Linked DNA regions of Arabidopsis thaliana. The protein of the gene in region 2 interacts with the protein of the main gene of each other region in a pairwise test. Each region holds a gene or a part of one and is shown on either strand. Other genes may lie near its edges.

Region 1 (4,125 bases), on a different chromosome or scaffold from region 2:
CGCAATCATTATCATATGGAAAGTTACCAAAAGTACTAGGAAACACAAGATCCTGAGCAAAAGAGAGACTTCAGCTCCAGACCTTTAGGACCATAAACCATTAAACTAAAGCCTCACATATCAAAAGAAAAGTATCATGCCGTCAACTTCTTAATTTCCACATACATACACAGAAACAAAAACCAAATCTACATAAAGTAGACCAAAACCAAGCTTAGACATCATCGATAATTGTACATAAATGTAGATTCATAGAATATAGACGAAGAGTAGTACCTGAATAGCGCTGTGGAATATACCGCCAAGACCGATCCCGTCTTTGAAGAACCTATTGATCTGAACAATGGTGTTGTTAGTCTTCTCCGATCCACTGTTCGTCACATCGTATATATGCAGAACAACCTCCGTCATTGATTCTATATTTACCAAGCAACACGAACCCTAATTTCCTACCAAAAAGAGCTCGCAGATTCTCTCTATATAGAGCTTTTGGTGAAGAAGGAAACCTAAAGACTCGTACCAAATCCACTTCTCCGTTTAACGAATCCAACAACTACTAGATCTCCCCGAAAAGAAATCTAAAGGCACAAGATTAGACTTATCTTTCTTCTTCCGATTTCTCAATTTCAGACGTAGGAGATGAAGAAGAAACTGGTGCGGCGGTGGTGGTGGTGGTGGGGATCCACTGAAATGACAATTTTACCCTCGCTTTTCCTGCGGAATTGCTACTTTACGTGTCCCTTGTTAATTCCTTTTGTTTACAACTTAAGCACGCGTTTAGATTATGAATTTATGGTAACAAATTATATTAGTATGAACGTTGTTCGCAGTTGATTAAACGGGTCAACTACTGAACCTTTTTTCTTTCATTTAACTAACATTTCTTTAGCTAGACAAGTGTCCTTACCAAAACAAATCAAAAATACTAGTAAAGCATCTCTATAACAAAATAATGACTTAAGTAATCTGACACAACCAAGGAAGATGATTCATGACTATTAAAAAATGGGGTAAACAAAAAAAAAAGAGGGTAATCAATTGACCGATTCTTCCGATAATTTTCGAAAATGCAAAACGGACACAAGTCTGGTTTTCGTTAGCCATCTGATTCGTCTCGAATTAGTCCATCCATTCATACACCAAATTTATAATTTTGCTTCTATGTAAAAAAGTCAATCATAAAAACTTAATGACTTCTTTTTTATGGTACATACATATTGGGCCAATTGGGCCTAGGCCCAGTACAACAGATGGGATTCAGGAAATAAATTAGGACCAAAGAAATTCGACCAAGTTTTTTGTTATATCAAAAGTGTATTCAAAGTCTCATTTTGGTGGATGAATCTTGAATGGGATGCTCAAAGCACAAACAAAGCTTAGTCAAGTTGATAAACTTTGAATGCAAATTAAGCTCTTATATTTTATTGTAATGTAAGGTAACATGACACTTGTACATATTCGTGAAAGGCTCAAATTTTCTTTCTTACATGATAAATATTGCAAAGTTGGAACCGGAAGTCGACAAAAAAAAAAGTTGGAACCGGAAACATCTCAAAACAGTTATCGGGGGATCTAACGGCTGCTAATAGCCCTCATTAGGACCCACAAAATACTGGGAGTAGACGAAGTCGCACCGGCCAAGTCTCCAAAGTCCCAATTGAAAACTTACACTTGAAAAAAAAGTCAGACATCATTCGACACGTGTCCCCATTTCATTAGAAGTCGCGCTGCGTTTCTTTCTCTGTACTAGTTATAATTCCTTCTATTATCCTCTCTCTCTCGTCTTCTTCGTCTGCTCTTCTTTTTTATCTCTCGAAATTCCTCTCTCTTTCTCTCTGCATCAAAACAGCAACTTTACTTCTGCGTTTTTGTTTATCTCTCTGTATTATCCGATTAATTTAAAGGAGTTCTTTGAAGGCAGCTGCTTCTATGCCATATTGCCGAGGTTTGGATCTAAATTTCATCATCATCTTTGTTTCTCCGTTTATCTTCAATTTCCCTTTATCTTTTCAATATAATTGACTTATTTCGTTAAAAGTCTTTTTGATTAGCTTCCTCGGATCTTATGCTTATTCATGGATCTTAGACCTACATAATGGATTAAATCCGATTGTTTCTCTTATTGTTCTTGTTGAATTGAGGTTAATTTTGATCTGAAAATTAGTTTCTGCGGCAGATCTGGTGTCTGTATTTGTGTAATTTGTATCCATTAGTCTTAATTGAGTTATTAGCTGAGGATTAAGAGAGATCCTGAAATTTGCCGTGGAATTAACTCTTTCTGTGGATGGATGGATACCCTTTGTATTCTTCAACTTTGCTCCTACTCTGGGAAATTAGGGTTTGAGTAATCATTAGGTTTTACTCTTTGGCTGTTGTTGACTATCTTCAATCTAATTGGTGGCTGATTTTGTTTGACTTCTTTAGGACTTTTGGTGTCTTTCGAGGTCATTAGAACAATTGTGTCTGCTTGGTTGGTGGTCTATCTACAACTGTTAGCTTTTACAAGTTTGAATGCTATTGTTTTGGCTTTCAGATTTTGATGTTATGGATTTCTGTGTTACTACTCCTCTGCAACTTGAAACTAATCAAGTAATTGTCAATGCAGAAAATGGGCGAGTCTAAGGGGTGCGGGAATGTTGGACGAATGATTTCGAAGAATAAGTCTGCGAATTCTTATAACCTCTCTCTTCAGTTGTCTCCTGTTGTTTCTTTCTGGGATTGTATTGTCCGCACCATGAGGTATTCCTATATACCAGAGTGGGTGTAGTTCTTGAGTTCCTCTACAACATCATCGAGTTTAGTGCAGTTTTTTAGTTAGAAATTTATAGTCAAGCAATAATGGATCACACGGTGTGCAAGCAAGTTCAGCCAGTCGTTAGGAAAGCGAAGAAGAAGCATGGTAAAGATGAATTTGATCGTATCAAACAAGCTGAGAAGAAAAAGAGACGTTTGGAGAAAGCTCTTGCTACTTCTGCAGCCATCCGGGCTGAGCTTGAAAAGAAGAAGCAGAAGAGATTGGAAGAACAACAAAGGTTAGATGAAGAAGGAGCTGCAATTGCAGAAGCTGTTGCTCTGCACGTCCTACTGGGCGAAGATTCTGATGATTCATCTCGAGTCAAGTTTGGTGAAGAAAAGGGTTTCACAATGGATCTGTTTAGAGATGAAAGAACTAACTACGTTCCTCGCCAAAGCTGTGCTAGCTATGCGGTTCAAGGGATTGGGTTTGTGTCAAATGGCTATGGACTAGGAGATAGTAACTGGTCGCCATTCACGAGGAGGGGTGCTTGGGATAACAACATGGGAATATCAGCTGATTTGATTGCTGCTCAGGCTGTCTCGGCGCTACAGATATCTGAAAATGCTGATGGGAACGCCTTTGTGTTCAATGGGATGTTCCGGGGATGACAGATGCCACGACTCGTCCTCATTCGGTTTTTAAAATAAACATTTGCCTTCTGCTTGCTTTGGTGTCAATGCTCTGTTTTTTTCTCTTGACGTTAGACCTTATACTCTGTTTTCGTTCGCTGTAATATTAAAGACGCATTTTGAGTTGTATCTATTATACATGTTGAAGTCTCTTCATACTGCATTGTTGCTTATCTTATATCACATTCTTTTAACAAACCCTCTAATAGGTGTGCAATGCATATGCTAAGACTTGCTTGGTCTTTGCCAGTAACGTGTTGAAAATATCTTCTTAACAAAATCACACGTTCTGCTGTGAAAAGGGGAAAAAAAAAGAGAGGTGTGTTCGAATCGTGATACAAAGTAATGGATACAAACGAATAAATTTTGGATAGGTGGATATACAGTAAGTGAATACATTGGGGTGGATCAGTACAGTTGCTACTGAAATAGTAGAACATCAGAGTCACGGTTCTGCTTTTTCTGATTGGTGATTGTATGATTTGTATCTTCCTCTTTGTTCCCTATCTCTGTACTTGTGGAGGGTTTGGCAGTGTTAAGTATACCTTTCAACCAACTACCTTGCAATCTAAAGCTCCCATTGTCTGAATTGTTGAGAGTTCCTGGCCGCTGTGGAGAGCCACTGGAGCCATTTGAACCATTGGTTATGTTTGAGGTAACATTCGAAAGGAAGCGATAAGCCACTTTACTGGCTGAAAC
Region 2 (7,154 bases):
TCTTCCCGATCTCCGCCATTTTAGTATCTGATCTCAGCTTCTGGAATGTTTATGTCGAAAACAGTTGAGAGAGTTGATGAAGAAACTTGTTGGACTGGAAAAACGAAAACGTTTATTGTCTGGATAAGCCTAAATAAGTAAATAGAGTAAATACATTTTTCTCTATCACTTATTATGTCATCAATTATTTAACACTTATTTTTAATGACATTAGATTTTATTTTTTTTGCTCAAATATTTTTTAAATGACATTAGATTTTTTTATTTTTTTTTAGTGTCACTAGATTTGATTGAATTTTGTATTACTTTTATTGATATATTTTAAGAGCTATTGAAAAATCCGAAAGAAATCGATAATGCTATGATCAAATCACTCGATTAACCATTACTGAATATTACTTGTCATTGTACTTTTTTACTTGTTATTGTACTTAAGGTTATGATTCGTTATGATTGTAATTGTATTAATCATTACTTGCAAACTTCAACCATAAGGCTTATTCTCGCTGGTGACAATTCATCTTTGTCAACCAGTGCATTGTCCTACACTTCTACGGCCTTCTCATGCTGTGTTGCTTTTCGAGTCGATGAAGTGAAAAACTCAAAACCAAAAAAAAATGGAAAAAAAAAGAGGGAAGAAAAAGCTGAGGGAAGCTACTAGTAAAAGATTCCGGTAGCCAATATCTTCACAAGAATGGAAACCCGTTCAACTAAAACAACAAAAATAATAAGAAAACAATGATGAAAGAGGTTCGTAGCAAATTTACAAATTCCTTGCAAGAAGAAAAAAAAAAAAAAAAAAAAAGAAGCAAATTGTTGGGTAGTTTTGATTGAGGGGAAATGAGAAAAAGAGGTTGGGGAGGTTGTTTTGCTGTGGGAGTCAAAGACCGAGCAGGAATTGGAAAACATCGCTCAGTGAAATGATACCTTCAACACGTTTGCTCCCTGCTTCCACTATCACCAGCCTCCTTACACCTGTTGTGTTTTATATACACAAACCCAAACCCCAGTTACATCTCATCTGATGTTCCTGTGTCAAGCAACAAAGCTGAAGATTGTATATAGGAGATAGTGTGTACCTGGATTCGCCAACCGCTCCATCACTTTCACAAGAGAGTCTGAGCGCAAGCACATGTGACATCTCTGCCCGTTGAAGATTCCATAAGGCGGGCTCGCATCTTGCCCCAACTGTAGCGCCTGAAAACCCACAAACACATTATCCTCCACTTTATTATAACGTTTCATCTCTTCTTTCATTCTTGTAAAGATGTATGTTCAAATAAATCAGAAACGAGGCAATTTCCATGATAGATAGGCAGGTTACATTTAAGTAAAACTCGTAATTTGATGAGACATGTGATGGATCTTGGTTTCTGATGAGAGGTTTACCTGGTGAACTGTCATGTCATCAAGATGAATCTGTGCGTATGCCTTGTCTTTAGCCAGAGCAGTTATATCACTGGCCAATTACAAATATCATCAGAACACAAGGACGTCAAAGATGGAATGCATAAGACATCATGTCGATTGATGGATAGAGGTTTACCTTCGAGAGTATATGTCAATAAGCGAGTCGTTGTCATCCACTACGGGAATTGAACTGACTTCAGCTGTAATAACCAGGAAACATAAATTAAGCATGACTCATTCATTCATTTCCATCTATGAGGAACCAGGGAAAAGATCACGAGAAATTCTATAAATATATCTGCTTTAAGATTGACAAAAATGTTTCTATGTTTTTAAACCTCGTTAGTTTACTCATGTTGCAGCAATTACATCTGTATAAAAATAATAAAAGTGGTCGTAACATCTAAAGTTGGTTTGTTGGTCTGCATTGACTTGAGTATACCCATGTGTTCAGCTACTTGATTATATTACCATCTAGACAAAATATTTAAAACTGAAAATCTGATTGTAATGTAGAGGTTGATAGTCTGAGTTGCAGATGAGCTTTGAATAAGATGTTGCTGCAACAAGATAAGAAAAAGGATTACCTTGAACTAATAATGCGAGCGCAGAACCCAAAGAGGCGTGAGGTCTCAATGTAGCGAGAGGTTTGCTACTTGATTCTCCGATTCTAGGGACCCACGTACCCAGGGGAATTGAACAAATGGGTTGCTGAAGGATAGGTAAAGAGCTAGACGAATGTCTAAAGTATCTGCATATACCTGGAAGATTATGCTTAATTTAGAGCTTAAGTGTCTGATAAAGGCATAAATTTCGAAAGGAATTATTAACAGGGAAAACTGTGTAAAAAGTTTGGTAAAGTCAATTGCAACTTTAGTTTCTAATTTCCCTCCCTCCTAAAGATCCCATCCCTTCACAGAATTTGGAGAAATGAAGAAGTGGGAAAATTTTGGAAATAGCAGAATCATATGCACGTCATGAATTAAAAAGTGAGAAATGCCAAATTGGCGCGCTTATCAGTGTCTTATTCACAAATGAAGGGACCTTACATTTTAATATGCCTGATAGCGAAGCAAGATGCAGTAACTGCGGATATGAACCATCCTGCAAAGAAGAATATATAACCGGAACAGCTGCCACCTTGTTTTGCAAAATTTTCAGGGCAACGTCTTTCAGATTATCATAGGGTCCAACCTGATAGCCATATATAAAACCATTAATAGCAAGAGAGAAATACTACTAGCTCTTTTCAATATAACATGCAATAGAAAGTTCTAGGATAAGGCTATGTTCAGAGATTACGCAAACAGAAGAAAGTTAGTAGTAACAGCGATACAAATCAACTGTGAAAATCTCACCTGAACAAGTGGCCTAGGATATGGTCTCCCACTTCCATCATATTGCCGGCTAATATGAGCCTTCCCCTCTTTCCAGGCTGCTATTGTGTGCGTCTCAAGCTCTTCCTCTGTCAAGTTTGATCCATGAGTTCCAAGCTGCAATTTTACAAATTTGCTATTATACTCAAGAGTGAAATTTCATACTGAGAAGCTAGTAAAACATTTAAAACTATGTGATTTATGAGATATCCAGACTTCCGTCTTGGAAATTCTAAGAATATACAATAGTAACTCGATGGAATGCTCTAGCAAAGAACAGTTTTAATAGAAGCCAACCTCTCTCAGTATTAGAATGAAGTCTAGTGGACCAAGAACTCCAACAAATTGGCCTTTTCCAAAGTCCCAAAGAGGAGCCAAAGGGATTCCCTGAAAGCATCTGGAATTAGCAAAAACCAGAAAGCCAAACAATCTCGAAGTATAATTAGACGAATGTTGTTCACTTAAGTTTCACTTCCTTCCCTTTCCGGGTCTGGATGCAACAATATTAGAATGTTTATATGACGGTGAGAGACAGAGAGATGAACATCCTAACAAGAACAGAAGCTGACACAAGGGTAATTGGCAAATAAAGTAAACCTGCTCATAGAGTATATGGAATGCTTGCTTCACTGGCAAATTAACATCCAATGCAATAACCTGTAAAATTTCCAATCACCTTAGACAATTTCCGAGTAAGAAGCCAAAGGTTATTCTTAACTGATAATCTATAGGACATGAAGACAGAAATTATCAATGATCAAGCAAAAAGAAAAAGAAACCAAACCTTGCCCGATTCTGGGAGCAGCTCATATGCAGTGCGGGTTGACAATAAAACCGATATGCGGTGACGAGAAAGCTCCAAATCAACCCCCGACATCCTAGGAACAGCTTCCTGGGACGGGTCAGCCTACAATATAATCACCATGTGAAAGCAGTCAGAAACTCAATTTGAATGTAGTCTCAGAGACAATTTAATGGAACTTAAGGAATCCTGCTTTATACATTAAGATAAAATGGTCTAAAATCAATTATACTTGAACTAATGACAAACAGTTAAAAATAATCTGAAGGATACCAACCACGGATCAAAATTAAAGAAACCAAACTGGAAGCAACTCGGGAAACCTGAACCATCAAGCAGCGAGAATAAACACTGCATTTTGGAAAAGGAAAGGTCAGATTCCTTACCGTTCGCAGGAAGACATCATCCACATCCATATTCGACCGGCCCAGTGTCTCTGGGCTAAAACCAGCAGGAACCATATCTGGCCCAGTTATAAATATTGTATTCACTACTCCACCATTTCCGCTTACAAATGGTTGGTGCTCATCGTGCCGCCATTCCCCATCAACAAAAAACTTATACTGCATGAGAATGAAATAACATAAATGTAACATTAGTGGCTTCTTAAGCATCTCACATTGTAATAATTAAAATCTTGTTATATATAGTACATCCAACTGCCAAAATATATGAATCTCTATACACACACTGTAGCCTTTATTAAAAGAAGTGATTTAGGTATCACACAGCATGAAGACCCCAACTTTTGTTATGTGGATGGTGATGTATAAAGTCAAATTTTGATCAATTAGCAAGGAAATTTGCAATTTTCAGCCACAGTCATACAAATATGACAGAGGTATATAAGATTCTCATTGCATAGGTTAAGTATCCAGAGACTAAATGAAGCACAATTATGGACATCGCTAAATCACTACAAGGACATAAATGCTTCTGCAGGGATTAATTAACAAAGAATTTGCCATGATACAGGTCGAGTACAAGATTATTAACCTGATGATATCCTGGCGTCAAGTTGCAAATGACTTGAAAAACAGTAGGGCAGCCCTCGAGCGGTGACATTGGCACATGCTCTGTCCACCTGTTCAAATGCCCATTTCAGAAATCAGTCCATGGACTGCAAAACCCCGATAGATACTATACAGAGCACATACTCTACACAAACCCCGATAAATAGCTTAACTGAAATATAAAGTAAACTATCCTAGTTCAAGCTCAGTCATCTCACCTGGTGAAAGATCCGCTTAGGAAGACTCTTCTACCTCCATAAGGCCACACGAAGCGTGTCGGAGTAAGAAGCTGCCCTGAGGCAGCGCTGTTTCCACGGCTGCTATCCAATGTAGAACCAAACATCCCCTCCCAGTAGTTATATAGTTACAATCCACAGAAACTAATTCCTAAAAACCTTCTGAATCGATTCTTAATGCGTAAAATAATCTCGACTCTTCAGCAGAAGAAACAAAACCCGGTGAAACTTCAAACTTCAACGCTTACACATGCAGAGAGTCCGAATTCAATAACGCTACCATAAATTCCAGCAACCAGTAAACCGAAACCCTAAAAGCCCAAATCACGATCTACAACGAAATTACTGAACTCTTCCCCCAAACCTAGGTAGAGAAATTCCACCAACACGAAACCTTGTAAAAGAGCCCTAAACTCAAAGCACGAACGATCTGGCTACAAAAGCAAAGGTCAACTGATTGACAATACACACCACCTGGAAAACGTAGCTGAAAAATTCCGAGGAAAAGAAGGCAGAGGAAGTCGCGGCTCTGATCTTTAAATTCGGGGAGTAGAGAGACCTCGATGATGATCGGAATTGATTGAAGGGAGGGAGCAAGAATTAGGGATTTGAAAAGTTGGAGAGAACCCTAAATAGAGAGAGTGGAGATGGCATTGTTTGGATCTGGGCAAGGAATGATGTTAATGGTCTTTCAAGGTGAAGAAGAATCTGAGGGCGAAGAAGCGCTGCGTAATGAAAATGTTGTTTTTAATCCATCGACAAAGATATGGTTTTTTTTTTTTTTCTCTTTTTTATTACTGTATACAGTTTTTCCGATAACATTTAAAAAAAAAAAAAAAATTCTACTTTTACATAACTGATTATTCTTCTCTTTTTTCATAATAAATAACTATATGAATTATGCAAATAATAGCATCTAATATATAGTTTTAGTCAACTATCTAATAAATCATTTCCTATATATATAATATATCACATAAATGTTATGAATAAATTAGACGAGGATCCAAGTTATTAAAAATATTTCCACTTTAAAATTGTATCTAGTAAATTCTTTTTTTGGTATTATTTTTTTAAACTCATTTGTCTTTTCTGATGTTAAACAGTACTATAAATCAAACAAAACCAAACTAACATTCAAAAACGTTTCAAAATACACTTTTCTCTTATTCTCTTGTGTTTTGAAGCAGGGTAAATAAATAAAGTAAAAAGAAAAGCCATGTTTTTTTTTTCTCTAATTTTTATTGTGTCAACTCTTATAATTTCTTAAATTAAAGAAAATAAATCATTACATCCCACACCAATTTATTATCGGGTTAAACATAATCCATGAAATTACATTGTACATCTATTCTCGGTAGACATGTAATACAGGGAGACAATCGTGTTGTCTTCCAAGTTGACATTATTTGAGGGAGAGGAGACTTCATGTTTGAACCCTAGGCATGCAATTACATTTTATAGTAGATTTAGCCTTAGAAAGACCTGTAAATTAGGGCTAAAAGCCTAAAACCAAAACACGACCTTGAAGAAAAAAAGAGTTCGGTTTCTAATTAGTTTTATAAACTCTAAATAATCGAAGTGATGTAACTTTTATTTGTTGTGAGTATATATTTTTAAGTTGGATTTGAACTTTCTTATAGACATGACTTTATATAAGTGTATATATCTCGCTCTTACTCTAATGTTGTTTATCTTTTTCCTCAAAACGTATATAAGTCCCCCGGCCCTCTCTTTCAGTACTATTCTATATATACACTTACTCTATCTGTCGGAAAACAGCAAATGAGAAAGACATTTGTAAACAATGGTCATTTTGGCTTGTTGGTTATTGGGCAGCATTCACGGTCGCTGGCTAGTATGGACAATTGGATATATATACTCCTTTAATGGTCATAACTTTCATCTCAAAATCTTGATCGCTATATTTGGGCATTGAAAAACAGGCCAACAAAGTTTTTTTTTTTTATCTCATAAGGGCTCTTTTTAATATTTGGAAAGTCTTCATTTGGTTACATATTGTTAGAACATCTTTGGCTCTCGTCCTAAACATCCGTAACTCCTTCGTCGTAATTCTGGTTATGTATATGATCTTTGGCTCGGGAACTAATTCAAAGAGTTCTTTCTTCTTCTTTTCTTTCAGTTATGGGTTTTGCATCAGATTTCGAGAAGAATTTCTTTAGCCTCCACTGAATACATTTTTCTCTTAGTCTAAACAACTCTCCAATTACATCACATATGCTCCTTCTTTCTTTCTTTTTTTTTTTGATATGAAATCAATCAAAGTGAAAAGCTTAGATTATACAATATAGCATAG
Region 3 (5,613 bases), on a different chromosome or scaffold from region 2:
TACATATGAACTCGTGTCATGCATGCATTTACATAGGTCCAAACTGCATTGAACATAACTCCATCGTGTACATTAAAATCATAACGATGATTATGTCGTTTCTAATTAATTGGCTTATTGCATTGCCATTTCGTAAATCTTCACCCTTAGTGGCATGACACAAAACGGTGACAATTTGGTTTGTTGAGTAAGCAAACAAAAGGACATTGCATGGCTCGTGAGCAAGATATAAATCCTCGTAATAGTGCAGTACAACCTCATTCCATTGGAGACCTCTATGACTCAATCTATAGATTGAAAAGGAACATGCCAAAGCCACCAACACATGTCATTCCATATGAACACTTCTAGGTCTCTCATATACAATGTCAATATGTAATAAGAAATTTCTTTCCAAGTCTAAGAACGTGATTGACAAACCAATGAATCAAACAACTGCTCCACCAACTTAACGAGAGGAAATAACTAAAAAGCCTTAAACGGTATTGAGTGAAAGATTTGAGTATCGTTGTACCTTGATTAGAATCTCAAAGAGTCAAAATTGCAAGTTAGTCAATTTAGTTATACGGCACATAAATAAAGTAAAACAAAAACATGCCGAAATTGCATTACGATTTTAGTGTTTTGACTAGTTTTGTACGTAGTACTCTATGTGCAAACCAATAAAAAAGAAAAGTGTACAGTAAACACACTTGGTTCCACGACATAGGCCCAACCGAAGATTCATAAGTTATGAGTCATAACTCATGAAGGCGGTGAGATCAGGTTCGATCTCATGCGCTATAATCACGTGCCTCAACTACCACCAAACCAAGATATTTTCTTCCTTTTCTCTAGACTGATCGCAACCATAAGTATTATATAACTCTTTTACCCACCGAGCCTTGGTGACAAACATGCATATACATAATACATTAATGGTATGCACATATGTGTATATTCATTAGTTGTACTTATTGTATACAATATTTTATATAGAGAGACTTTGATGGTGCACATTCTTATCTAAATGGTGTCTTCATGAGACTCGTCATCAAGAGGGAAACACGTGTCATCACCGCCGGTATTCCACAAGAAATTGGCGTAATTAGCGGCGTAGTAAGAGTTGGTCGGATCGGCATCAATTGCTTCTAAGAAAGTCTCCTCAGCCGCCCAAAGATCGTCCCGTGCTCTCCATAAGAACGTCGCATATTTGCTAAACGCCTCTGCATCTTTCGGTTCCACTCCTACCGCTCTCTTGAAATACTCTTCCGCTCTGTTACACATGAAATCACGTGAGAACTTATTCAATAGAGATAAGTAAAGACATGTGGAACGTATTAATGATGAAATGAATAACGCCAAAAGTGTTACGTGTGAAAATTAAATTTCCATATAATATGAATTAGGTACCGGTTACAAAAATGTGAAAGAATTATCAATTTAGCCATCATACTAACAAATAAGGATCGGTTAGGAATAATATCAAACCATTCATCGTGTCACTAAAATCTATAATGCTTGTTAAGCCCAATTTTCTAAAGAATGCTACAATCTAGAACAAAAAACTAACTGTATAAAGCTAATGACAAAAACATGGGTTAATTAATTTGGGTGGGAGATAAAATCTAGAAGACAAATTGTGATGTAACGACTTTTGTTGTTGGGTTATGGTGGGGAGTCTTTAAAACACAACCGTAAACTCCACTATCACTAAAACCCTCAAAGACTCAAAGCTCATTGGCTAGAACTTATCCCTAACACTGACTGAGAGTTACATTATAATTTTCTTTATTTATTCTCTGTTAGATATTTGTGTAATGTCGTTTTTCCTCAAAGAGGAAAAGAAATTGGTTGGTGTATATTCTGCTGATGCGATTATTATGACAATTATGAATTTCCACAATCTGCCCCACTAGTGAATTAAAAAATCATCGAAGTCTGCGCCTATTTTTGACTCTATGCATCAACTTGTAGCCTCAGAAATTCACAACCCAAAAGAATCTAAAAGGAAGATTCGACCCTAACTCAATAACCAAATCTACTTAAGCTAAACTAAGATTAACATAATTTAATTAGAAAACACATGATTAAAGTGTTACCTGTCATGGTCATTAGAGACGAGGTAAAGGAACTGAGCATAGTTAGCGAGTAGTAGAGGATTATTAGGCTCTTGAGACAGTTCTGTTTGATACATTAGCTCTGTTTTGAAGTAACCAGTGTCTTCCTCTGCTTCTACTCGAGCCTCTACATGAGACACGAACCGCTTCCTCGTCTCCTGATCCAACGAATCGTCAATATTTGAATACTGCATTCGTTCTGCTTCCTCCACCATCGAATTCCACAATCTATGTTCATCTTGTCCCGATACTGACGGCTCTGACCCGAAATTCGATGATGACAATTGAGAAACTCCTTCGGGTATGATTGTTCTGAACTGTTCTGATCCATCGGATCCATCACCGTCAGTTCCGCTTAACACCGGCTTGACGTTTCCACCGCCGCCATTGTTGTTACCACCAACTGAAGCTATACTCCCACTAGGAGATGATACAAAGAACGTTTTCACCACCGAGGAATCAAACTTCACGTTTGTTTCCTCTGTTTCACTAACAGTTGTTAACTCCGTAATCGTCGGAGGAAGAGGAGCAACAGCGGCTAAAGCGGAGCTGTTGTTACCGATAGAATAAACAGTGAAATTGGCTAAGAGAATCATAACATAAACCATCAACGTAGGAGTAGCAGAGAAAACTTGTTGAAACAACCAAACGAAAGATTGTTGCATCTCTTCTCTAACTCTTAGCAAAATCTCTTGCAAGTCTTCGTAGAACAGAATCTCTCTCATATGTAAAGTAAAGCTCTGAAGCTCCCGTATCATAAACACCATTGAAGAAAAAGCTTTATTCATCGAGCAACACGCAGATTCACCAGCTTGTTTAACTCCTTCTTCCCATTGACGTTTCTTCTTTATAATACGAAGTGAAAGAGGAAGATCAACACTGTTTGCTTTCATTTCAATACTCGACAAATGAACCATCTCGTTCCATGGCGGCTCGATTGAATTCTCGTCGTCGTCATGGTGTGGGATATTGAATCTGAGAGTTAGCTCTTGGATTTTTTTCGAGAACTCTTCGTCGGAGAATGGATCTAAGTTTGCGCTATAAACTCTTCGAAACGACTGAGTTTTGATCGGTCTAGATGATGATGATGATGATTTCCATAGCTCACATGACTTGGGTCGATGAAGCTTCGTCGACGGAGTTCCGAAAAGAGCCGAACGGTTTAGTCTCTGTGTCACGAAACGACATGATAGAAACCGGCCGTCGTGTACTGTGCTACGTCGTTTTGAAGGAGATGTTATGGTTCCCGAAGCTAGGGTTTGAGATGGTGAAGAAGACTGATGAATAATAGGCTGAGTAGTCCATTGAAGGAAAGTAGACGAAGAAGCTACTTTCACCCCCATGCGAAATTTTCCTGATAGATATTGAATCTGAATTTGAAGATTCGAAACAGAGAGACTAGTTTCTTCAACAATGGCTTCTCCTTATTAGATTCCTGTAAATCATAAGAGAAATTGAATCCACTAATTATCTTGAGATTGAATCATTGAAGATGGCAAATCGGATAGTGGAAAGGTAATGTCACGAGAATCGATGGGTTCAACGAATTAGTAAGAAAAAAAATAGGTAAAGAGAGGAAGAAAAACTCACCGGAAAATTTAAGTCTGAAATTTTCTCGGAGGAAAGCGAAACTCACTCGGGAAAATCCTGAGGAAGGCGCTTCACTTTTATTTTAGTAGAACGCGGAGAGAGAGAGAGTGAGGAGATGAGCTTTTATATACAGATGTCAAGGAAGGGTTTGTTGCGCACGAGTTTATGATCGAAAATATCGAAATTAATTAAATTAAATATATGACCGGGTTAAAGCCGGTTATACAGCGACGTAAAGAATCTGACAAACAAGTAAGCCGGTGACAAGAACCGACTCACATGATTAACCGGAGATGTCATTAGGATTTATTATTTTTACATCTGACGGTTTAAGATAGACCAAGTGTCTCCCAGACTATTGGGTTTTCTTTTGTCATTTTCTGACAACTAGTACTAGTGTATTGCGTACTGTATTTTGCCAATTTAAAATTTAAACCAATCAACGGTCTTGGAAAAGCCATGTAGATATTTTACTTGCTGTAAGATAATAATTTATTTTAAAATGGTTTAATTAGGAGTGTGAAAATAGTAACAGTTTTGCAAGAAGGTATGCTAAAAGAGTGGGTCCCGTAGTGTCCATGTAATCTGGCGTTAACTTTGATGTGTGGTAAGTGTTGCGATTTGCGTCTATGTTCATTTTGCCCTCTTTGGTATCAAAATTTTTACATCTTTTTCTTTTAAATTTTGTTTGTATAGAAAACGTAAATACGTCTGATCCAAAATCGACGGATTCGAAAAATCGTAAATCGTTCATGAAATGTGAGATCAAGTTTTGTAATGATGCAATGAAGGAAATAATTGCTTATAGAAAATTATGTTTTAGTTTTACCAAAGTAGTGATAGAAAATAATCTCCGTTCTAGGGAGATTTTGATTACACTGTTTCTCTATATGGTTATATAGTTGGGGTGACTATATAGTGGATCCTACTATTTTTTACTTGATTTGAGTAATTTATAAGATACCTTTTTCTGTGCATGTGCAATGATGATTGTAACAAATAACTACGACTTCGTAAATTATCGCATGCATGTATTTTTGAGATATATATCTAGTTTCGTAAGATTTGGAGCTGCCCCATTTAACAACTTATATTTTAAATTGAACAAATATCAAAACGTATTTAATAATTTCATAACCAACACACAATTCAAAACACCAAAACCGAACTAAACTGAAACAAAACAAAGAAAACCAAATTAACTGCAATTGAAATTTACAACAACAAAAAATGAACCAATTTACAATTTCGGTCTCAATTTGATAAATATGTATAAACGTGAGTTAAACAATGTAGACCATAATGGACGAGCTTATAAGTTCTAGTTCGGGAAAAATCAGCCGAAAAAACTGTAACCAAACCTAACCGAAAAATCGAAAGTTAAGAAGAATAACACAAGTGGTTTATATCTTGTTTTGTTTATAGGGTGGTTATATCTTGTTGAAACGTGCCAAATGGAGGGGGTAAAAAAACCGACGGTGGAGAAGGAGAGAAAGGTATGCACCAACTTGCCGTAATTTGACGTCGTTGAGACATTGACGTTAGAAGAAGGTGAAGAATTGACGGCTCTCGTTGGTATTCGGCTTATGTCCTTCTTAACGGTTGATATTTATTGTTCTTTCAACAATATTGGACTCTTCTCACCTTTCATTGATATTTATTTATTCCCTTAGTTTATTCAATTCCATTTTACAAAACGTACGGTGGAATCTGACCTTGTCCTAATTTCAGTTTTTTTTTTCCTTTTTATTATCGTCTATATTTGGACCATCGAGAATATTTCGTAATTAAAAACTTTAGGGTACACATGGATTTAAAACGAATTAGCTCGTCTCGTTACGAGTTTTATGAATATAGGATGTGAAATGTGTTTTGAAAGAAAGTTCTAGAGGAACATATACTGATTATAACCAGTCCCTCATAG
Region 4 (5,435 bases), about 19 Mb from region 2:
AGTTAGAATAATTAGAAGATGACACATATATATATATATAAAACAACAATATATACATTTCGTTAAGATTTTTAATGTTTTATATTAGTACTATATAAGTAATATTGAGATCCAAGTAATATATAATAATTTGTTGAGAAAATTAATAAAATGTAAAAAGCTTAAGAAAAATTACTAGCTTGTGGATTCTTTAGAGGATGTGAAAAGATTAGAATGAACTAGGCTTCTCGGCCATGAAGGTAATTCATAAAGCAACAACAGATCACGAGGAATCAAATTGCAATCAACAATGTCCACAATCTTCAACTTGGTCAATACCGTCAACTCATTACCATCAAAGTTATTAGAGCACACATAAAGCCTAATATATTATCATTTGAGCAGCCCATCTAAACCCGCTAATGATTTTGCTATAAAACCTAATAACATAGGCTGAATAGGCTTCTCAAATGATAATATTTTGGGGTTTTATGTGTTCTCTAATATAAATCTGGATCTCACCTTCTAATGATTTTCTTAAATGCACATGGGATCCAACTTCAGTGGTTTGGGATGGATTCAAGAATTGGAGAAAGGTCCATATCGAGAAACAATTATGTCCTACAAACACAAGCATAACCTCTTTGTTGGGCCATCTTGTGTGTTGGAAATCTGAATTACCTAACACAAACGCCGTCAACGGGCTTGCACTAAATCCGACATGGCCCATGTTTCAACATATCCATGGTGGCACCCGTCACTTTAACAATTGAGGATACAATCGCTCACCATGCTTGTGATTAATTTGAGACCTTTCACAACTGTTGTAAGTTCGAATGTTTCCTTTTAGCTACAGCATACTGTAGTGGCTAAACGTTTAGGTAGATACAACGAAGGCTAAAGAGAGAAACAAATGTTTGGTGACTGATTTCTAGCGCGCGATAACTAGCCCCAACGACAATGCGGCTCCAAGCAAGGCGTGGAGTCTCACACAGTAATACTTGGCCATGAATATCTTCCCATTATCCTGCATTAAAAGAATAGATTAGCAAAACTTTGAGTATTACAAATTTCAATTCTAAATATCTTACCTTGTGGTGCTTTTCAACGTAGCTTGAAACCAAATTCCCAACTGGTAATGTCAGGAAGCACATCAACTGAAACACCAACAACAAAAAGGAGGTTTTAATATATGTTCTTATATTTCAGTCATGTTCTCAAATCTGTTAACTTACGGTGCAAGGTAGTGGCAAAATCCTGGTTAAACCAAGAACAAGAAGCATTGAATATAGTAAACGAATAGTCCATCTCACAACAAAAGCTCCTTTTTCAGTCCCTAACCGAACCTGTGTCAACCAAAAAAAAACTCTAATCATAAACACAATCACCATATTCATATTAAACCTTGTTGAGTTTTTTTCACATTTGTACCAGAGGTGAATATTTCCCCACAGCTAAATCTCCATCCACCTATAGAATGTAAATGTAGTCAGTACTGTGTTTGTCATTTCAGGACTCATTAGACCACTTTTTCATTAACCAACCTGATGAAAGTGGCTGCAGAAAAGGATAAGAGATGTAGTAAAACCAACAAGGACAGATGATGAAAGGACCCTACCGCTTAGCGGAAGATGCCTCATCTCGCTGCCAAAACCGATTAACAAGCTTCCATTATTAACACCTCATGGAAACACGAATGGATTAGGCTTAAAACAAAATTTTGATATTACCTTGAGCTACCAAGAAGTAGATAAAAAGCAGTAGTAGCAAATGGACCAAATGCTGCAAAGCATAGAGGCTCTCCTAATCCTTGGTAACTTAACCGAAATGGCGGACACTAGTCACAAAGTATTACTCTAAGTTAGAAATCTCCTAGATTAGTATCAAATTGTCATCTAGGAAGTAACGTTCACCTGGTATACGTAGCCACAGAGTATTGCTGAGGCTAGCAATAGTATTGCACGGATATTACTTGCATTTAACGATGTCCAAACTAGACCAGAAACACCAAGCGCTAGCGATGTGATTGCAGCGGCTAAGGTTCCTGTCCGGCTTTTCCAAGTAAAACACAGTTTATTAGGATGGAACTCAAAAACATAAACTTCAAAGTTGCAAACTCTATCCTTTGATAATACTTTACCTTCCAACCAGATTTACTACTGATTCCATTTTGTTCTTATCAGCTCCGGTATCAAAATCATAAACATCATTGCTGCAAACATAAAACCATGTTTGGAAAGAGTAAATACATGAAAGAGTAAATACAGTCAACGAAAATGTTAAAAGGAATCAATCAATTAATCACCTTAGGTTGAGCCAAGTAATGATAAGAATTGATGAGAGCAATAGAGTAACATAACGTCTAGCTAAGAACAAACCCGTCTCTAAATAGGCCGCTGAAGCGCCAACCTGTGTGACATTTGAACAGTGAATATTCCCTAGCAGATAAAGGCAATGGAGGACATAGAAAGGTTTCTTGAGGAAACATACGGTAAGAGGAACTAAAGCGACAGAGTACATTGGTAGTTTGATTGCTCTCCATATCAATTTTGCTCTGGGAATCTCCTCTTCTTGGTAAACCTTTGCTGCATCTCCATAACTCTTACAAAAGATTGGCCTAACTCTAAGGTTTCTTCTTGGTTTAGCATTCAGATTCTCTCGTGCATTCGAACCAAACACCGGTAATCTAGTGATTACATCTCCTCTGCTGGGAAGCTAAGCTAAGTAATTTTAGTGACAGTACAAAGTAGATTATTGTCAAAGAACAAAGCTTTGGATGAAGTGCTAAGCCTACCTTGTGAATTTTCCGTTTCACAAACAAATCAGTTGAATTTTTGGGCACAAACCCATACTTTATGTCACAGAGAGAAACAAAATTCACCATTTTCAGGTTTCTGCATAAAACAAAAGAAAGAATTTCAGTTAACAGAGGAAGAACACTACTTCCGAGTTAAAGTCCGAGATTCTGGAACCCTATAACTAAAATCTTTGTTCTGGCATGAATCAGAGACAATGGAAAATGAGTAAGATGAAGTAAAAAAAGTATGAAGTTTGGAACTTTACCTTTTTTAACACGAATCTTTCGAAGAGAGTTAGCGACGGAAGTGGAGTCAGATCAAAACCACGACGTGATCATAACAAAATTCACTTGAGGAAAAATATTTCAACTTGGCTCGTCTACAACGAGATTTTCATGAACCCACGAATCTGGAATCTTAATTTGGAGAAGATAACGCACACAGAAGTACAGAACAAACTCATTGAACCTTATACAAAAACTGAGAGAAAAGTGCCCGAATTATGCCAATAAACAGGCAAAATTGAGTGACCAGAATCAGAATCAGAGGATTTGTGAAGGAATCTATGCAATGCAAATGTTGGGATTTCGTTATTCAGACAAGAATTTGAATGTTGGGTTTTGCGGAAGAGACGTGAATGATGAAGTGGATAACAGAAGCTCCCTCGTTGGAAGATAAAATCACGTGAGGTTCACGTGTCTTTGACCAATTTTAAATACAAGTAGAAAGGTGGGCCTTTAAGGCCCATTACTTTCGAGCCTTTGAGGGTTTGGTTGGTACAAACTACTACAAGTAAACTAGATTTGCATGATTTACAAATTAAACAATGTTGACATAATTTATAATTAAACCAAATTAATATTAATGCCAAAAATTAATATTCAGATGGGGAAATTAACTGCGTCTTTTTTATTTTTGCAAACGTAATATGATGTATATTAATATCAACTTTATTAGTATTTTTCTAACGGAAATATTGATCAAAATCCTTTACATTAAAAAAATATTGTTTTAGTACATAAATAACCTTACTTGGGAAACAAGTTTTGCAGCAAAAATATTAAGAAGAAAAAAATCAGCCAAAACAAGTTTAATAATTTCTTCTAACAATGTAATCCACAGCTTGACATATCGCACACGACACGGAACTCAATTATTATCTCGTGTTCAAAGAACGGCTGCTTAATAACTACGAAATAGCAGAATCATGCTATATAGGTTTAATGGCAAAAGCAAAGAAAGACTCGACCAAGTTTTCATTCATCACCACCATCACATACAAATATGTTCATCCACCATTTACTTTTCAAGAGTATGAAGACAACTCAGAAGAAGAAGACCTGAACGCTAGAAGTTTTCAAAGACTGGCAAACAGGACAAACACCAGTAAACACATCACAATCTTTACACAAACTCAAGTGCCTACATGGCACGAGCAAGACCGAAACATTCTTTACGTTACACAACTTACATCTCATCCCAGTACTTGGCATCCCCGGGATGTTCAAGTAATTGTAAGAAGCTGCTTCGTCATCAATCTCACTATCCCCAAACCCTTCTTTCATTTGATGATGATCAGCAACTCCTCCTCCTACTGCATTGTTGTCGTTTCCATGTGACATCACTTGTTGCAAATTTACCTTTAAGGCATTAACCACAGATTCATTGTATTTTGCTTTGTAATGCCAGTTCTGAGCTTCCACTGCCACTTGTTTTATCTTATCCACGAGTTCCCGGTTCTTCTTGTTCATGCTTTCAATCTCATGGTCTTTCTCTTGAAGCTTCTTACTCACATCCTTCTCTAAGGCCGTGACAAAGGACGTGACATGTCTCTGTTTAATATCTCTCACACCTTTCGCCATTTGATCTGCCTGTTCCAAGAGAGAACAATTTCAACGACATGGGATATGTAAGCAAAAACATACGCTTTGTAGATAAAATTAATACCCGGAATTTGATAAACTGATCAAGCTCGTCGTTCTGTCTATTGAGGTCCAATCTGATATTGTCACCGAGTGACTGATAGACTGGAGTTGTTATGCTTCCATTTGCTGAAGTTACAGAAGAGTTGCGCTCATCATCATCATAAGATAGTCTCAGACCAGTTGACACTAAGTTCTGCTTTGGGACTTCATCTTGAACAACAGTATTATTGTTGTTGTAGTTATAATTCAAAGAGATCTGCAGCTTCTGCTGTCTCTGCATAATATTGTTGTTTTCAGTTTCCCTTCCGCGTGTGCTATTAAGCCGCATCATAGGAGCAAGGTTATCATTAGCAAAGTAGTTTACAGGATCAATAGTACAACCAGCTCTCACTGCAACCACATACAAAGGAACAAGCTTTTAGCTCTATAAAGTTCTAACAACATTCAAACCAAATGAATAACAAAATTCAGAAACTTACTCGTCCCAAGCAAGTGAAGCTGATTCAACGATGTGTTTGATTGATACCGAAACTGGCTGTCGTTCATTAGAACCTGCGGCACAGGGTTATCATTGTTGCCTCCCAACATCTTCTCTAGAGCTTAACCGTTTTATGTGTATATATATACCCGTAAAGAACTGAAACAGAAAAATTACAGTAAGAAACCTGTAGACATACGAAACTAATTAGTTGTAAGATATGAAAGCTCAAATATCTTCAGCTTTTGACATGAC

The links.
Region 1: the proteins of SNF4 (region 2) and AT4G25670 interact in a two-hybrid assay, tested with the Arabidopsis thaliana proteins (one large-scale study listed by BioGRID).
Region 3: the proteins of SNF4 (region 2) and AT2G29670 interact in a two-hybrid assay, tested with the Arabidopsis thaliana proteins (one large-scale study listed by BioGRID).
Region 4: the proteins of SNF4 (region 2) and ABC4 interact in a two-hybrid assay, tested with the Arabidopsis thaliana proteins (one large-scale study listed by BioGRID).

What each region holds. Positions count from the first base shown.
Region 1 is NC_003075.7:13,084,711-13,088,835, reverse strand, and holds AT4G25670 (stress response NST1-like protein), read left to right. Parts: upstream 1-1,745; 5' UTR 1,746-1,945; intron 1,946-2,449; exon of another isoform or gene 2,450-2,470; intron 2,471-2,605; 5' UTR 2,606-2,838; coding exon 2,839-3,405; 3' UTR 3,406-3,618; downstream 3,619-4,125. Other genes in the region: AT4G25680 (PPPDE putative thiol peptidase family protein), read right to left, coding at 277-411; AT4G25660 (PPPDE putative thiol peptidase family protein), read right to left, coding at 3,847-4,125.
Region 2 is NC_003070.9:2,899,269-2,906,422, forward strand, and holds SNF4 (sucrose nonfermenting-like protein), read right to left. Parts: upstream 5,595-7,154; 5' UTR 4,945-5,594; coding exon 4,820-4,944; intron 4,673-4,819; coding exon 4,585-4,672; intron 4,152-4,584; coding exon 3,975-4,151; intron 3,694-3,974; coding exon 3,571-3,693; intron 3,444-3,570; coding exon 3,384-3,443; intron 3,174-3,383; coding exon 3,084-3,173; intron 2,904-3,083; coding exon 2,769-2,903; intron 2,605-2,768; coding exon 2,460-2,604; intron 2,172-2,459; coding exon 1,998-2,171; intron 1,611-1,997; coding exon 1,547-1,610; intron 1,460-1,546; coding exon 1,390-1,459; intron 1,198-1,389; coding exon 1,080-1,197; intron 976-1,079; coding exon 881-975; 3' UTR 508-880; downstream 1-507. Other genes in the region: AT1G09010 (glycoside hydrolase family 2 protein), read right to left, coding at 1-19.
Region 3 is NC_003071.7:12,681,304-12,686,916, forward strand, and holds AT2G29670 (Tetratricopeptide repeat (TPR)-like superfamily protein), read right to left. Parts: upstream 3,849-5,613; 5' UTR 3,690-3,848; exon of another isoform or gene 3,535-3,689; 5' UTR 3,443-3,534; coding exon 2,082-3,442; intron 1,256-2,081; coding exon 1,006-1,255; 3' UTR 528-1,005; downstream 1-527.
Region 4 is NC_003070.9:22,323,897-22,329,331, forward strand, and holds ABC4 (UbiA prenyltransferase family protein), read right to left. Parts: upstream 3,464-5,435; 5' UTR 3,043-3,463; intron 2,874-3,042; 5' UTR 2,864-2,873; coding exon 2,774-2,863; intron 2,695-2,773; coding exon 2,470-2,694; intron 2,389-2,469; coding exon 2,285-2,388; intron 2,192-2,284; coding exon 2,120-2,191; intron 2,032-2,119; coding exon 1,893-2,031; intron 1,817-1,892; coding exon 1,710-1,816; intron 1,624-1,709; coding exon 1,524-1,623; intron 1,450-1,523; coding exon 1,411-1,449; intron 1,326-1,410; coding exon 1,215-1,325; intron 1,137-1,214; coding exon 1,071-1,136; intron 1,007-1,070; coding exon 911-1,006; 3' UTR 541-910; downstream 1-540. Other genes in the region: AT1G60610 (SBP (S-ribonuclease binding protein) family protein), read right to left, coding at 4,103-4,648, 4,725-5,092, 5,182-5,290. UniProt on the Arabidopsis thaliana protein: Involved in the synthesis of phylloquinone (vitamin K1). Catalyzes the transfer of a prenyl chain to 2-carboxy-1,4-naphthoquinone.